Linked DNA regions of Nothobranchius furzeri. The protein of the gene in region 2 binds, or shares a complex with, the protein of the main gene of each other region. Links are inferred from orthologs where the notes say so. Each region holds a gene or a part of one and is shown on either strand. Other genes may lie near its edges.

Region 1 (4,551 bases), on a different chromosome or scaffold from region 2:
CTGGAACTCCATCGCATTCTCAGCTGGTTTCATGTGCTTCTTTATGCGCATGACTTCCAGGGTTAGCAAGTCCACTTTGCTGTGCAGCTGACTCATGCTTGAGTTCAGTGTGTTGAGGATAAAAAACATTTTCTCAATCAGTGGATAAAGACTCGGGTCTGCTGACGTCCGGCCTGAGGAGTCTGTGGTGGCAGAGAAGGTCTCCAGGGGCCCGTTTTGCTCCAGACTTTGGAGCTTCGGTGAAAGGATGCTGTCGAGTTGACTGAAGCCGCCGTGATTAGCGAGCTGCTCCACACTCGGTGTGTTCCTCCTCTCTGAAATCCTGTGCGAGATGCCGAACAGAGGCTTTCTGTAGGAGGATCCGGATTTCTCCAGGAAGCCGGGCCCCCTGTCTCCTGTCGTTGTGAGGCAAAGAGGCTCGTGTCTGCTGCTTTCCACCATCAAACGCTGCCTCATCTGTCAAAAACAAACAAATCTTAAATAAGCAACAATGAGACGCACATTAGTGTAACGTAGAAAACATACAGTACCGCGCTAGTGACTCTGGCTCTCTTGCTGCTGGTTGAGTGATGTGTCGCAGGGCCGATCTCTGCTGACGACCTTTTACCGACGTCTGTGACCCCAGAAGATCCTCCTTCGTGTCCCTGGAATGACTCACAAACAGTAAAATCTTCTTGCTCCTCCTTAACGTCCTGGACATACTTGTGTTCTGTAAATGACCCAGAATCAGCAACAAACACATCACCACATGCAGAGATACGAGAGCGAGACCTACCCTTTTCAAGCATCGCTTCATTTGAATGTTCTCCATGCTCGCAGGAATTCATAGCCTAGAAAGAGAATTTCATACATGTCACTGATTTATTTCAAACGTAGAAAACGTGATTAAAAACGAGTGAACATAGTTTTGCTGTAAGAAGATAATCAAAACCAGAAACAACGAGAAGTTGAGCTGTGAATATTTGGCAGTTAAAGAGCAAGTCACCCCCAAATCAACTTTTTTTTCTGATCAGCTATATAAATGCGTGTCTAATCGTGCCGCAGACACGTGTAGTCAATAGTTTTGCACTAAAACTGTCAGTGCTGTGCCGTTGTCAGGTAAAAACTTTGCGCTGCATTTGAATTTAAATCTGCCATCGCTACTGGCTAAGATGTACTCTAGAACATTAGCTGGTACCATATGATGTCACAATGTCGTTGTGAGCCTGTGTGTGTTTGTTAGCGGCTCCGCCCTCTCGGCCCGCTAGGCAACAGCATTTGTTGCATTTTTCAAACAGGAAGTGGGAGTGGAGTAAGACTCTGGTAGGGGGTGACTTGCTCTTAAAGGTCTTTTTCTAACATGTATTAGTGTGAAAACTTTATAACAACCACTTTAAGAATAAGGAATAATTTTGCGACTTTGATTTAATAGTTTGTGAGAATGTGATAATAAAAATAGCCAAGGATAATTAATATTGAAATCAGTTGTTTTCACAAAAACGAGCGGCTCTGCACCATGTGGCTCAAGTCATTCATTCATTTCACATTTTCCAGTAGTTTCACAGCTAATTATGTCCTCTCTGGGGCGACGGTGGCACAGGAGTTAAGTGCTCGCCCCGTAATCGGAAGGTTGCTGGTTCGAGTCCCGCTCAGTCTGTCGCTGTCATTGTGTCCTTGGGCAAGACACTTAACCCACGTTGCCTGCTGGTGGTGGTCGGAGGGACCGGTGGCGCCAGTGCTCGGCAGCCTCGCCTCTGTCAGTGCACCCCAGGGCAGCTGTGGCTACATCGTAGCTCATCCCCACCAGTGTGTGAATGTGTGTGTGAATGGGTGAATGACTGATTGTGTTGTAAAGCGCCTTGGGGGGTTCTAGGACTCTAGAAGGCGCTATATCAAATACAGGCCATTTGCCATTTATGTGCAGTGTTGTTAATAAACGGAGCTGCTTGTGGGGGGAAACTGAATTCAATCAGCAAACGTGGTACAAGTTGTTCTTGTATCTTTCACGGATCTGGAAGCAGAATGATCTCATGCCTCCAAACTCGTGATATTTCCCCACTCGTCACCAGCTTTACAGAGATGACATTTTAAAATGCAAACCCGTTTATAGACGCAGGAATTACGATCCGCACTAAACCACGGTCGGGGTTAAACATCTACTATTAAATGTGCTTTGAATGATATCCTGATTTTATGGCAGCAACGTACACCGTGTTTACTTTTTGTTACACTCTGAAATGAACTACAAATAAATAAGTGTTATCTTTATGAGAAACACACGATCAGCTGTTTGTAGCCGAAACACCCGCCAGGTTATGCTTGAGTGTGTTCTTATGAGCGTTTTTAAAAAAAGTAACAACTTAACAGTTTATTTAGCTTTATAAAACAAATCTGGATTCTTTTCTGAGGACTTCGGCGGAGCGTTACAAGCAGCCACTTCCTCATTCTTCCGCCCCTTAACGTTTAAACCGGATCACCGCCGAACCCGCTGAACTATTCACCAGAGCCCGAGGAGGTCACTGATTCAATCCACCGCGAGTGTCCGAGCTGTGATTCCTCACCTCTGCTGCGTTTGGTTTATAAACGTTAACGACACGGTAATGTTTGCGTGGATGTGCCTCCCATCTCTTCCTCCTACTAGTAAAATTAACGGTAAACGCGCGTGACCGGCGGTCGGAGCTCACCTTTTCGAGTCCGTGTCATCCTTTAAGGCCGTTGGCGAAGCACCGGACATGTCTGGAAACTGCTCACGGTAGTTTATTAACAAGCAACTGTTGTTGTTAATGTTAATGTTTTGTTTTGCTTTTCTTGTTGTGCTTTTCTCGCTCGTCTTCTCGGCTATCTCGCGGGAAGTGACGGGGCGCGCGCTTGCTGCGTCACTTCGAGAGGTGGGAAGTTCAGCTCATTTCTGTGAGTCGAATCATCGGATCAGCTCACCAAAAAAAGAACTGTTTTTAGCTCCCGGACGAACTGTTCACAGCTAATGTACATCTTTGATTGTGTCTACCACTGTTAGTAAAACAGCTAGAAATTTATAAAAAACGTGCAAGTGCTCAATACATTTCAATTCATTTCAATTCAATTAAAAAATACTTTATTAATCCCAGATGGAAACTGATTGCTGTAGTAGCTCAGAATAATAATAATACTCAAGTCATCAAAGAGTTGTTGTATATTACAATGGCTATTGGCAGGAAGGATCTCCAGTAGCGGTCAGTGTTGCAGCCAAACTGAAGAAGCCTCTGACTGAAGACACTCTTCCGTTGTCGGACAGTCTTGTGAAGAGAATGCTCAGGGTTGTCCATCATTTTCTTGATTCTCTGGAGAATCCTTCTTTGCATTTTCTCCTCCAGCGGTCCCAAAACTGCAGAAACTCTGGCTGAGTCCTTGAAAGGGCTTGGAGTTCCTCCATCTTGTTGGCCAGTGATCTCACATTGCCCATTATGATCGATGGAAGAGATGGTTTGAATTTCCTCTTTCTCTGTCTCCGTTTTGCTCCCGCTCTGCACCCACGCTTCTTGTGTTTTAGCTCATTTGGGATTTGTGGCTTCAGTTGAGGTATTATTTCAGCCTTTCTAATGTTAATCAGCTGCTCCTGATTGTAAACCAGCTTGTTGCCATGGTTATGCATCATAACAAATGCTTAAAAAGAGAAAAAAGCTAAAAAATAGCAGTAAAAATCCTCCAAGCTTCACAGCACCAGAAACAGAAAAGTAAAGTGTAAAAAAAATATAGTTTTTCTTGAGAAACTAGAAGAAAAAATGCCCAAGAAAAGGCAAAACTTACATATAGTCAACAGAGCTACTCCAACATGCAGCCACCCAGAGCAGCGCAGTTCCGGAAAAAAACTTTGTGAATTTATACAAATACTTTCATACGAACAATCATCCAAAGGGATTAATTATGCAGTTACAAACAAAAATCCCCAAATACCAGTTGTTTTGAGAGCCTTTTTGTTTGAACGGTGTAATATTAATTTTATAAAGCCATATCTTTTAACAACTTGAGGAAATATCTTATAATTAAATTTACACTTATGATTATAGAATTTTGTCACAAGAATAAAAAATACGATTTAAATAAATGTATCATGCTTTTTTAAACACACTAATGGTACATCACAAGAATCCCGCTGTATCCCACATACAGTGGGGTGTGATGACGTAGCCTGCACAATGAATGAATGAATCATTCTCTGTGCAGAATTAAACAGAGGATGAGTCTGGTAGGCCAGGCTAGTGACGACGTAATAAATTGCATTTACTCTTTTTACTAAAATCACGTAGCATTTCAGTTTACTTACAGTTTTAAAGCAGTCACATAGGCTGATTGTAATAAAGTATTTTACAGAATAAAAACATGGAAATTAGAACCAGAAAGTGAAAAATCACCATTGGGCCAGGCGCAAAGAAGGAGGAGTTTCCTAAAAAAAAAAAAGAGGCGCGTAAACTCCGCCCCTCAGCGCAGTTTCGTCTCAAGTTATGTTAATGATGCAGACCAGAGTCCACCCAACACAGGCTAACAGCAAAACCATCTTTTACACGAATTCTGACGATTTTCTACAAAAAGTGA
Region 2 (4,351 bases):
AGCACAGCCGACAAAGGTTTATGATGGGTCAGTCCTCCTGCATGCTCAGATCATTCCCTTCCCTTGCTTGAAAAATTGTTCCAAAATGAAAGTTGAACCCACATCTTTTTTATCTGTGAATTCAATGCCGTTTGGCGAGTCTCAAATAAAAATTTGGGCATCTTACTGTAAAAAAATATACCATTAATGTAAAAAAGAAACTCTAAATAAACTATGTTCACACCCAGAATCAAACCCAGGTCTTCTGCATGAGAGTCAGACATCTTACTAGGTGAGCTAAAGCACCAGTGATGTCCTTTGTATCTGTAACATTTATATCCTTGATGACAGATGAAACAACGTCAAACCAAAGAACGGTTCGGAGTGAAAATGGCTATTTTGTTGCTAATTTGCAGGAAATATCTAGAAGAAAGTTCTACAGAAAGTAGCTAAGGGTCCTCAGAAATGTAGCTAGCTTTGTCACTAGGCGTTAGGAACAGCGACAAAGTGGCACTGCCTCTCTCTCTGCTGCTAAAGCTACGGATAGCAAACGCTACGGGCGATGCCTGAGCGTGAACGCGCATGAAGCAGCCTGCTCGACCCGAGCATCTCTCTTTTTCTGTGATTTTACAGAAAAACAGGCAATCACAGTAAAAAATGCCAGAGCTCATTCTACAGGACCAGGGCATTGCAGGAGAACGTATGAAGAAGACATTTATTATTTCTATACATGTTTGGCTGTCAAACTTCCATAATGCCCCTTTAAGGTCTAACGATCAGTTGCTACTTTCTGTTCCTTTTGCTCGCACACAGTTAGGAAAGAGAGCCTTCGCCTGCTCTGCTCCTTCTGCTTGGAACCAGCTGCAGAAATCCTGGAAAATGACCGAGCAGGTTTCACTAAATGCCTTCAAAACCAAACTGACAGCTTCAGAGACCGCATTAGTAACTTGTAACTGCTTTTAATGATTGAGTGTTTTATCATTGTCATTTTGTTAACTGGAATTTTTGCTGCCTCTTGGCCAGGGCTCCCTTGTAAAAGAGGTTCTTAACCTCAATGGGTCTCTATCCTCGTTAAATAAAGGTTAAATAAAAATAAAAATAAAGGTTCTTTAGCAGTTCAGACTAAATGATTTACAGTAAAAACATAAATTAGTAAATCTGCATCAAGTTGGCTAATAGAACCAGGAAACGAGTCACAGAATCACCAATTTGTAGCACATTTATGTAAATTAACATTTTCTCTTAGTGATAGTTTTCATTTATTCCACGCTCTTTATCTAAACATGAAAATAAAACATGTTACTGAATCAAGGACGCATTTTCAGAGCTAAAATTCAGCTTCCTATCAAACTGTTATTGATGTTTTTGAACATTTCATCCAACTTAAAGAGTTCGTTTACATGCTGATCACAAATGTGTCATCTAAATCAGTAACAACTTTTATCAGGAAGAGCAAAATGATTCGTAAACAATAAGAAAATAAATGAATACTAGTTGTGCTCACAGTGTATTTATTATTTCCTAAAATAAAGAATAAGTTTATGAGTGTATGTTTGAGCGTGGGGGCTAAAAACACCCACACACAAGATAATTACAGACTTGAGAGAAAACTGCTGGTTTTATTTCTAGTCCTTCAGTTACTCAGCTCATCAGATATGAAGGAATTTCATCATAATCAAAAACAGATGATTGTGTGTGAGATACCTGGTATACTTCTCCATCATCTTGTCCTCTGCGTGGTTGTCCTCTGCGTGGATGGACAGAGATCTGGACAGAAAAATCTATGTTAGAAATTCAGAAGATAGATCTCAACTTTACTGAGCAAGACCAAACACGTTCAGATTTCAGATTTATTGGCCAAGTAAAATTACATTTACAAGGAATTTAGCTTCGGTAGATGTTCGCTCTCTAACACATACAACAACTACAATAAATGAGAATAAAAATACATGAAAAACACATAAGAACACGTATACCCACACACATGTTCATTTACACACACACATATATACATATGTATACACACACACACACACACTCATATCCATAAGCATACTGAATAAGCATTAAAACCTATAATAAAAAGATGGTAAAAGAATCTACAGATTCAGGAGAGAAATGGCTGAATGAAAGAAACTGTTCTTGTGTCTGATAGTTTTTGTGTACAGCGATCTATCGCGTCTGCCAGATGGGAGGAGATGGAAGAGAGTAGATGCAGGATGTGTGGCATCTTGGACAATATTCACTGCCTTTTTCCTGGTCCTGCTGATGTACAGTTCCTGGACAGAGGGCAGCTGGGCACCAATGATTTTTCCTGCTGTTTTAATAATACGCTGTAGTCTGCATTTGTCCATTTTTGTGGCTGACCCAAACCAGACAGTGATGGATGAGCAAAGTATGGATTCCACTGCAGCAGTGTAAAAGATGATCAGCAGCTCTTGTAGTAGGCCGTACTTCCTTAGTTGCCGTAAGAAATACATCCTCTGCTGAGCCTGCTCCTTTGCCCGTCTCAACGGGCTCAGTATTGCTGTAAACCTTGGCTTGTAAAATTGGAGAAATAACTAAGAATTGATGTTACGGAAACGCATGTGAGTTCAAACGCCTTTAGCAGCTAGCTAGCTAGTTTGGTAAACGCTCTTGTAAATGCACCGTAAGCTCACTTACTTTTCGAGTCTGTCAGAAACATGAGAAACCTGTTCATCGTGACGAGAGTCCATTTTGTTACTTTTCTGCTAGTCCGTTGTAATAATACAGCAATAAACTCTACGCAGATGTTTGCATTTATATCTTCTCGGATTTCTCCGCCATTTTTTATAGCCAATCAGAGACCACGCTGTGATCCCATATCCGGTTACGCTGTCCAATCACAAAAACGACTGGGCAGAACTTAGTTACGTAATTTCCGACTTGGAAATTCTGATGACAACGTACGACTGAATTCAAATTCAGCCAAGAACGAGAAGGTGTTTAACAGTTTGATGTAATAAGCTTAATGGTTCACCAGCTATTAAATCATTTTGGTGCTTTAATAGAATTCTGTTATTTAAATTTTTAACATCTAATACATTTTGGCATGTTTTGAATCTACAGTTGCAGTTAAACATTCCTCCTGTAGAGGGCGATGTCTCAAAAACTGTAAAAGGAAAGGCAGCTTTGTTTGTACAGCACATTTCATACACAAGAGTAATTCAGTGTGCTTAATTAGCAAGAATAGTAAGAACATTAAAAATCATCAAGCCAGAAAGTACACACAAACTAATTTTTGATTTAAAAATTAAAAGAAAGGGACTTAACTAAAGGGTGAAATTTACAATGATTATACAAAAAATATGTATAAAACTACAGCCTAGAGGTACTTTTATGAAGTGTCGAGAATGCATAACTGTCAAGTACACAGGTGGCAGGTACGGCCAGTCACACGTTGGCAAGTATCAGCAGAGCCAACAGATGAGCTTATGGATGGTTCTGATAGGAAGCAGGCTTCAAAACAAGCGGTTGTATTCCACTTGGTCCTAGTGCTCAATCAGTGTCTACTTAATATAGCGTAATATATTTTTGGGATGGTAAAAGTGCAGGGACCCCCCCCCCCCCCCCCACACACACACACACACACACACCAATCGGGCATCTGATTAGGATGCCTCCTGAACGCCTCCTGAGGTTTTCTGGGCATGTGCAACTGGGAGGAGACCCAAGGGAAGACCAGGACACGTTGGAGGGACTTTGTCTCTCAACTGGCCAGGGAACGCCTTGTGGTTCCCCCGGAAGAGCTGGGCTAAGTAACTAGAGAGAGGGAAGTCTAGGCATCTCTCGGCTTAGGCTGCTGCTCCCGCGACCCGACTCTGGATAAGCGGTTGAGAATGGATGGATGGAGGAGGTGGATGCCAGAGGAGCGCAGGGTTCATATGGTAAAAGTAGGTCTGAGAGATAAGAGGGCTGAAGACCATTAAGACCCTTAAAAACAATTAGGAGTACCTAAATATCCAAACAAGAATACACAAACACAGAGACTCAAAATCCCGGAGCAGTTTCCAGACCAGACCGAGGCTCTACTGAGGCCTTTCCACGGAGCTAGCTCTGTGGTCACGTGGGTCTGATGCTCATTAATTATACAGAATTTTAGGCTTTTAATACACTTAAACAGAAGAGTGAGAAAAACATTCACCCCCCTCAGAGTTGTCATGAGTGTAAACTAGATCATTTAAACCAAAAACATGTTTTGGTACCAGGCTGTAAACATGTTTATTTCTGCTGTGAAATTGGTATTTTTAACATGGGAGTCAATGAGGATTTGCTCGCTTCTGACACCAGCCCCTAGTGGATGAGGGTGGAACTGCAACTTTTGTCACTTCCGTGTTGGCTTCATTTTCAT

What was found.
Region 1: the proteins of ercc6l (region 2) and bend3 are in contact, whole or in part, in a crystal structure (PDB 5JNO), measured with the Homo sapiens proteins. The link is inferred for Nothobranchius furzeri from reciprocal best matches to the Homo sapiens genes ERCC6L and BEND3. Residues at the interface, in NP_060139.2 of Homo sapiens: Ala10, Glu11, Ala12, Leu13, Ser14, Pro15, Glu16, Ala18, Ala19, Tyr21, Leu22, Arg23, Lys26, Phe51, Pro52, Asn53, Glu54, Lys55; in NP_001073919.1 of Homo sapiens: Glu252, Gln255, Ile256, Gln259, Leu261, Asp265, Arg269, Val272, Gln273, Pro276, Phe279, Ser280, Phe335, Arg338, Phe339, Gln342, Glu346.

What each region holds. Positions count from the first base shown.
Region 1 is NC_091758.1:40,783,334-40,787,884, forward strand, and holds the start of bend3 (BEN domain-containing protein 3), read right to left. Parts: upstream 2,851-4,551; 5' UTR 2,664-2,850; intron 2,636-2,663; exon of another isoform or gene 2,541-2,635; intron 831-2,540; 5' UTR 828-830; coding exon 531-827; intron 457-530; coding exon 1-456. UniProt on the Homo sapiens protein: Transcriptional repressor which associates with the NoRC (nucleolar remodeling complex) complex and plays a key role in repressing rDNA transcription.
Region 2 is NC_091750.1:36,677,203-36,681,553, forward strand, and holds the start of ercc6l (DNA excision repair protein ERCC-6-like), read right to left. Parts: upstream 2,804-4,351; 5' UTR 2,697-2,803; coding exon 2,644-2,696; intron 1,747-2,643; coding exon 1,684-1,746; intron 1-1,683. UniProt on the Homo sapiens protein: DNA helicase that acts as a tension sensor that associates with catenated DNA which is stretched under tension until it is resolved during anaphase. Functions as ATP-dependent DNA translocase. Can promote Holliday junction branch migration (in vitro).